Cricetulus griseus: one gene and its partner. The protein of the gene in region 2 binds, or shares a complex with, the protein of the main gene of each other region. Links are inferred from orthologs where the notes say so. Each region holds a gene or a part of one and is shown on either strand. Other genes may lie near its edges.

What was found. The genes of interacting proteins can lie anywhere in the genome.
Region 1: Gtf2a1 (region 2) and Polr2b share a complex: the UniProt entries of both Homo sapiens proteins name them as parts of the TBP-based Pol II pre-initiation complex. The link is inferred for Cricetulus griseus from reciprocal best matches to the Homo sapiens genes GTF2A1 and POLR2B.

The regions. Positions count from the first base shown.
Region 1 is NW_023276807.1:143,692,824-143,697,037, reverse strand, and holds the start of Polr2b (DNA-directed RNA polymerase II subunit RPB2), read right to left. Parts: upstream 2,801-4,214; 5' UTR 2,626-2,800; coding exon 2,607-2,625; intron 1-2,606. Other genes in the region: Noa1 (nitric oxide-associated protein 1), read left to right, coding at 3,213-4,214. UniProt on the Homo sapiens protein: Catalytic core component of RNA polymerase II (Pol II), a DNA-dependent RNA polymerase which synthesizes mRNA precursors and many functional non-coding RNAs using the four ribonucleoside triphosphates as substrates.
Region 2 is NC_048598.1:113,330,465-113,333,964, reverse strand, and holds part of Gtf2a1 (transcription initiation factor IIA subunit 1), read right to left. Parts: intron 1,301-3,500; coding exon 1,167-1,300; intron 859-1,166; coding exon 538-858; intron 1-537. UniProt on the Homo sapiens protein: TFIIA is a component of the transcription machinery of RNA polymerase II and plays an important role in transcriptional activation. TFIIA in a complex with TBP mediates transcriptional activity.

The DNA of each region.
Region 1 (4,214 bases), on a different chromosome or scaffold from region 2:
GCACTATTACAGAGATTATCATCTATTGAGGAAATACAAACAAGTTGAAATCAACAAAGACAGAGTAATATGAACATTCCTAACCAGGACCCCAAGAAAATAAGTCATCCCAAAAACTGAAAACAGGAGTAGACCAGGCAAAAATGAGTCAGTGAATATGGGAGGAGTGAAGATGGCTCCTGTCCAAAAGACATCATAATGAAGATAGCATAGTATAATCTAATCAAGAAAAGGCAATGTAGGGTACTGGGGAGATAGCTCAGATGGCAAAGCGCTTTACTGTGCAAGCATGAAGACTGAGTTCAGAGCTCCAGCACCCATGTAAAAAAGCCAGGCACACACCTGTAATCACAGCACAGGGAAGGCTGAGACAGGACATACACATATAGACAAGCAGTGCACACACATTCACATTTTTTGAGACACACTCTCAAACAGTATCAGATATATTTCCTCTGTGTGTGTGTGTGTGTGTGTGTGTGTGTGTGTGTGTGTGTGTGTGTAAGAAAAATGGATACGGATAAAGTGAGTTGAGTCAACAGTAGAGTTTAGGGAACCTAACAGATCTCCCAGTTATCTAGTAAGAGATAGATATGCAGGACAACTAAATTGGAAATACAGCAGGGCATATTAGCTCATGCCTATAATCCCAGCACATGAGAGACTGAGGTAAGAGAACTGCCAGTAGTTCAATGCCAGCTTATGTAATGCACATAGTCAAGACCATGTCTAAAGAAACAAAAATTTGGTTGGGCAGTGGTGGCACAAGCCTTTAATCCTAGCACTTAGGAGGCAGAGGTAGGGGATCTCTGAGAGTTGGAAGCCAGCCAAGTCTACAGAGCTAGTTCCAGGACAGCTAGGACAGAGAAACCCTGTCTCGAAAAACCAAAAGGGAAAAGAAAAAAATAAACAAAAATGTATTCAAGTCATCCAGTAAATTCAAGTATGAATAATGGATTAGATCGCCAGGCGTTGGTGGCATATGCCTTTAATCCCAGCACTCGGGAGGCAGAGACAAGCGGATCTCTGTGAGTTCGAGGCCAGCCTAGTCTACAGACTGTGTACCAGAATAGGCTCCAAAGCTACACAGAGAACCCTGTCTTGAAAAAAAAAAAAAAAAAAAAAAAGACTGGATTAGATCACCCAGGGAGAATGTAAACAACAGTAATGAGTAAAAGAAACGGTAACAGTCAAGTGGAAGTGATGTAGCAGAGTAGATGAGTAGTTTTCAAGAGGAAATCGTGAACAATTTTGAATAGCACAGAAATAGGTGAGAGTTGGGTGGGTGAATGATGTTTTATCTGGTTGGTTGGTTTTGGGTCTCCAATTTAAAGATAATCCTCCACATTTGGCCTTCTGTGAGCTACAACAACTGATCTAAGTAAGTCTTGAAGCATCTATCTAATTTATCAAGTAAGAAATCACAGACCACTCAGAAAAAGCTGTTTTAACATAGGAGCATTAGCAAAATCAGATTATAATGGGTCACAGAGGTCCTGAGATGGAAACTAGAAACATTCTTAGGGCTGGTGAAATGGCTCAATGGGTAAAGATGATTGTCACATAGCTGAGGATCTGAGTTCAAACCCAGCATCTATAGGGTATGCTCCATGTGTGCACCCTGATACATACATACAAAATAAATAGATGCTATAAAAGTCTTAAAGTTTCTGCATTTCCTTCAAGTAAGAGTAATTTAAAAGAATATAACGATTTTAATAGAGTTCCATGAGATATGAATACAATTGAGACGTTTAAGAAATTTTAAAAGTTGAAGCTTTTGTTGTGTCTGAGTAGGATGGCCATAAAGTTGGAAGCTGGAACACAGAAGTAAAGAGGGAGCTTTAAAAAAAAAAATACAACATGAGGCCCAGCGGTGGTGGCTCATTTAATTACAGCATTCAGGAGGCAGAAGTAGGAGGATCTCTGACTGAGTTCCAAACCTGTCTCGAAAAACAAAAAAAGAAAACCTGAAGTGTGCCTATGAAAAGTGACTAGGCATGTCCTTGTGAAATGAAATACATACACAGCAAGGACTATGTCATCTCATGGTAAGAGACTACTAAAAGGCCATCTTTTAAGGCATTTACTTTAACTGAAGACAGTGTGAAGGAATGTCAACCCAGAACTCATTCTTTATCCTTAATATTTCCAGGGTATAACAGGACGTGGTCGAAAATTGAGCTACCCGGGACTAGGAATAATGGCTCAAGAGTAGAGTACGTGCAGGACCTGGATCCAATCCTCTGTGACAGTATTAAAAAAAAAAAAAATACCTAGCTATTCAGCAAGTTGACTGGGGTGCAAAGGAAACCAATCAACGTCAAAACACCCGAACGTTAATAAGCACTTGCACACTGTCGTTCCTGGAAGGTGACAGCAGGTTTAACAGGAGGCCACGCAGGGAGCAATCGACCTGACCCGGGAACGTGAATCCTAGGTTTCCCGAGCCTACACAGCCAGCAAGTCCAGCGCGTGAGAACAGGGCTGCGGGGCGCGCGTCCCGGCCGGGATGGGGTTGCTGGCGCAGGTCCTCCATCCCTGCAGGTTCCCCCGCCGTACCGCCTAAGAGGCTACCGCGAGGCGTGTCTCACGTGGTCACCTACCCTCGTCGGCGTCATACATCTTGGCCAAAGGTTTCTGGTCCTCTTAACTCGAATTCACAAAGCTGGAGGCGAAAACTGCAGCGGCAAACTCTGGAGAGTAAGAACAAGCAATTTCCGTCTCCGGCGTTCCCAGAATCCTCGGCGTCTAAGTGGGGCGGGGGAGCGGGGGGGGGGAATCGTGTGAGATCTGCGCCTGCGCAAACGGCCGGCCGAGCCTGGCGGGGGCTTGAACTGCGCAAGTGCAGATTTTGGGTCGCTCGGCTACCGCTGAGGACCGCTCTTTAGGCCGGAAGTTGGACCCGGTTAACGTAGTTTCTTGTTGCGTGTTCTTGTAGAGTTGTTGCACAGATGACGCTTGATTGGCGTAAAGGGGATTTATGAAAGAAAAGCTCTGGGTGTAGGCAGAGCACCCACGATCATCTCCTGCCCACCCAGCTCTAGTGCGCGCCTTTGCACAGCGGGGTGAACTCTCGGGTCTCGGAGCCTTCATCGCGAGAAAGCCAGGGTTAGTCACGCCGTTGGACAGTTCCCTCGCCTCTCGTCCCTGATTTCCGGACACGCGCACGGGTGCGCGCCCGAGGCTCCGCCCACCTCACGGCCGTCCGCATGCTGCCTGGCTTGCAGGCTTGCAGGCTGCTGTGCGGGTTCCTGCGGGGCCCGGCGCCTGCCGCAGCGTGCCATGGCCCTGCCCGGCGGCTCCTGGCGGGGAAGCGCGAAGCCGCTTTCTCCCAGAGCCCATCATCCCTGGGCCGCCGTCTGCCTCCAGGCTCCACGGCGACCGAGGACTATGAAGAAGGCCCCGACACGGAGGAGCGCTTTCTGTTCCCGGAGTACGTCCCGGAGCGGGACCCTGAGGAACTGCTGAGAGAGTTGCGGGAGTTGCATCAGCGGCAGCAGGATGAGGAGCGACAGAGGTTGCAGCGGCGGGAGGAGCGGCTTCAGCGGAAGCTGCGGGCGGGTCTCCGGAGTCTGCAGGTCCCCGAGCTTCCAGAAGCCACGGTGCCACCCAGCGGCATCTACTGCTCGGGCTGCGGGGCCGAGCTGCACTGCCAGCACCCCAGCCTGCCCGGCTACCTGACGGAGGAGAAGTTCCGCGGTGTGACCCAGGCGGACGGCGGACGGGCGCGGACCGTGTGCCAACGCTGCTGGCTCCTGGTGCACCATCGACGTGCCCTGCGCCTGCGGGTGAGTCGAGAGCAGTACCTGGAGCTGGTGAGCGCCGCGCTGCGGCGGCCGGAACCCGCTCTGGTGCTCTATATGGTGGACCTGCTCGACCTGCCGGACGCCCTGCTGCCCGACCTGCCCAAGCTGGTGGGCCCCAAGCAGGTCTTCGTGCTGGGGAACAAAGTGGACCTGCTGCCCCAAGACGCACCCGGCTACTTGCAGCGGCTGCGGAAGCGGCTGTGGGACGACTGCATCCGCGCTGGGCTCGTGATGGCACCTGGCCACCGAGGACCGCAGTACCCCACCGGCGATGACCCTCGGGACGAGAAAAAGAATCCGAATCCGTCGACCAGGTCCAGCACCGTGATCAAGGACGTCCGGTTGATCAGCGCCAAGACCGGCTACGGAGTTGAAGAACTGATCTCTGCACTTCAGCGCTCCTGG
Region 2 (3,500 bases):
GCTTGAGCTGTCACATTCAGTTATTCTCCACTTTCCTCTCTCCCCAAACAATGCCATGCCTTTTTAATCACTAAAACACAAGATCAATCCTATTCATCTGCTCTACCACTATCTTATGGTTAAGCCACCACATTATGAATAATAACAAGAAATTTGATCTGTACTATCCCTATTAATATAATTTCCATTTGATATACATACCTTTTAAAAAAAGGGAGCCTGTGGTAGTTGCTGTTAATATCAACCTAACAGGACCTATAACAGCCTAGGAGACAGCCCTCTAGGCCATGTATGAGGGATGGATAATCTAGTTCCTGAGGATGCCTATGATGGACTGTGATGGTGTGGTTACTGAGGTAGAAGAACCATACTCAGAGTGGGTGATATACTCCCTGAGTTTGGGGGAGAGAAAGCTAGCTGAGTCCAAGCATCCACCTCTCTGAAGAAATAGCATATTAATTTGTCTGTTTAGCCCTAAATACAACAATAAATGATGAGGGGCTTCTCTTTTCAAGTCTCTTTTTACTAGAAACTTACTTCTTCTACCTGCCCATCTTCAGCTCCATCTTTCTCTTTATCTTCCTCCTCATCATCATCATAGTCTTCTTCCTCATCTTCATCTTCCTCAGATGACGTATCCCCTGTTCCATCAACTTGCAGCACCAATGGGGCTTGCTGTTGAGCAGGCTGGGCCTGTGGCTGCTGCTGGCCAGCGGCAGGTATCTGCGCTTGTGCTGGTGTGGGTGCTGCCACTGTAGTAGGGATGACCTGAGTCTTATTTCCTGTAAATAAGATTTGCTGTGGCTGGATGATGACACCTGTCTGTGGTGAAATCCCTCCAGGAAGTGGGGCCAAGACCTAGGGCAAACAAAACCACCTATTAGGAACTAGTAAGAGGGATCAAGAAGCCAGAAACAAATAATAATTCAGTTTTAAACATGAGAGATGTAACTTGCTTGGAGGCCTAATAATGATAATGATGATTATAATTATAATAATAGTAATAACAACAATTGAGAATAAGATTGTTTTGACTATTGTGTATGTAAACTTGAGGGGGAAAAGGGTAGGGAACCACATGATAAATTCATACAGTTATAGCAGCAGCAGCAGCAGCAGCAGCAAGAGCAGCAGCTGGATCCCAGGGGATGGTAACAATTCTTTACCTGCTGGATAACAGGAGCCTGTACTCCACCAGGCTGCATCTGTGGTATAACTTGTTGTTGTAGAACAACTGACTGCTGAGGTTGAAAGATATATTGGGCACCATTGGCTGCTCGGACCACCTGAAGAAGCTGACCTAAGGCAAAAAAAAAAAAAAAAAAAAAAAAAAGAATATAGACCAAGTTGCTATTTCAGCAGCAATTAATACACAAGGAAATGAGTTTATGTTGCTTTCAAGCCAAAGAACCAAAATATTTACCAAATTAGAAGACTAACTATTTTACTAAGGGCTATCAACTATACATGATAAACTACAACCACTATAGTTCCCAATTTCCCTCTATGTCCAAATGTTTTCCCATATTTATTATCTTCATTAGCTTTTTTTTTTTTTTTTTACATGCATTGGTGTTTTACCTGCATGTATGTCTGTGTGAAGGTGTTGGATCCCCTAGAACTGGAGTTACAGACAGTTGTGAGCTGTCAGGTGGGTGCTGAGAATTGAACCCAGGTCCTCTGGAAGAACAGGCAGTGCTATTAACCGCTAAGCCACTCTCCAGCCCCTTCTTTAGCTTATTACCAATAAAGCTTTAACAACAGGTTGTAAAATTTGATTAAGAGACTATCGAAGTAACTCAGCAGTTACAAGCACTAGATGCTCTCCCAGAGAACGGAGGTTCCATTCCCAGCACCCACATGGTGGCTGACAGCCAGCTCTAACTCCGGTTCTAGGGAATGTGGTGGCCTCTTCTAGACTCCCAAGGAACTACAAGCATGTGATGCACAAACAAGCAGGTAAAATAGCCACACAAAATTAAAAGACTTAAAGATTGCCTTAATTACTTTTTCTCACATGATAACAGTCAAGAAAGTGTAGTAAACAGTATTAGAAAGCCAGGCGTTGGTGGCGCACACCTTTAATCCCAGCACTTGGGAGGCAGAGGCAGACACAAAGGTATAACATTTTGTTTGTATCTTAAACCAAAGCACAGGGCTTTGCTTCAAATTTTCAACAAGCAATGAAAATTTGCTAAAACAATTAGAACTGCTGTAATTATGAATAATATATAATACACAGAATAGCCTCATATACTTCCAAAAGAAGACAAAGCCCTAGGCTGGCAGTGGTGGCGCACAACTTTAATCTCAGCACTTGGGAGGTAGAGGCAGGCTAATCTCCATGAGTTCGAGGCCAGCCTGATCTACAGAGCGAATTCCATGAAGGCTCCAAAGCTGCAGAGAAACCCTGTCTCGAAAAACCAAAAAATAAATAGATAGATAGATAGATAGATAAATAAATAAATAAATAAATAAATAAATAAATGAGGGCAAAGCCCTAATTGGTTCTGCACAAATTTAGAAATTACAGACAATCAATCAATAAATAATATAAAGATCAGGCTATATAACAGTCTATTTAAGTGTTCCAAAGATAAGATGGAAATATGTATTTGGCATAACTGCAAAGACAGTACATTCTCTAAAAGTACACAATGAATCAGCTCTTCAGGTCCTGTGGAATTTAATTTGATCATCACAAATTAATTCAAATATTTCATTTAGCAAAACAGATGCTTTGTTTAAAAAAAAAAAAAAAAAAAGCCAATCTCAGAAAATAACCATATCTCTGTAATCCCACTTAGGCAGGGTTCTCATTCACAGAACAAAAGATCCATTAAAAATTTTTTTTTTTAAATTCCTGTTTTAATTTTTTTTTTCAAGATTGATTTATTTATTATGTATACAGCATGCTGTCTGCATATATGCCTGCAGGCCAGAAGAGGGCAACAGATCTCATTACAGAAGGTTGTGAGCCACCATGTGGTTGCTGGGAATTGAACTCGGGACCTCTGGAAGAGCAGCGCCTGCTCTTAACCTCTGAGCCATCTCTCCAGCCCAATTTTAGATTTTTTTTTTTTTTTTTTTTTGTTTTTCGAGACAGGGTTTCTCTGTGTAGCTTTGGAGCCTATTCAGGCACTCGCTCTGGAGACCAGGCTGGCCTCGAACTCAGAGATCTGCCTGTCTCTGCCTCCCGAGTGCTGGGATTAAAGGCGTGCGCCACCAACACCTTTTTTTTTCTTTTTTGAATCAGGGTTTCAGTTGGGCTCAAACTCATTATGAAACCTAGGATGGCATTGAACATCTGATCCCGCCTCCAAATCCCAACTGCTGCGATTATGTGTGCTACCACACACCTGGCTACAACTTTGATTTTTTCAATTATACCCTCAACAAAGACTACAATTCTATATCCTATAGCCCTCAAATGATCTTAACAAGCGTCAGTACTGCCTCCCTTCAGTGACAATAAAACATTAAGAGCTACTTGGTGTTAG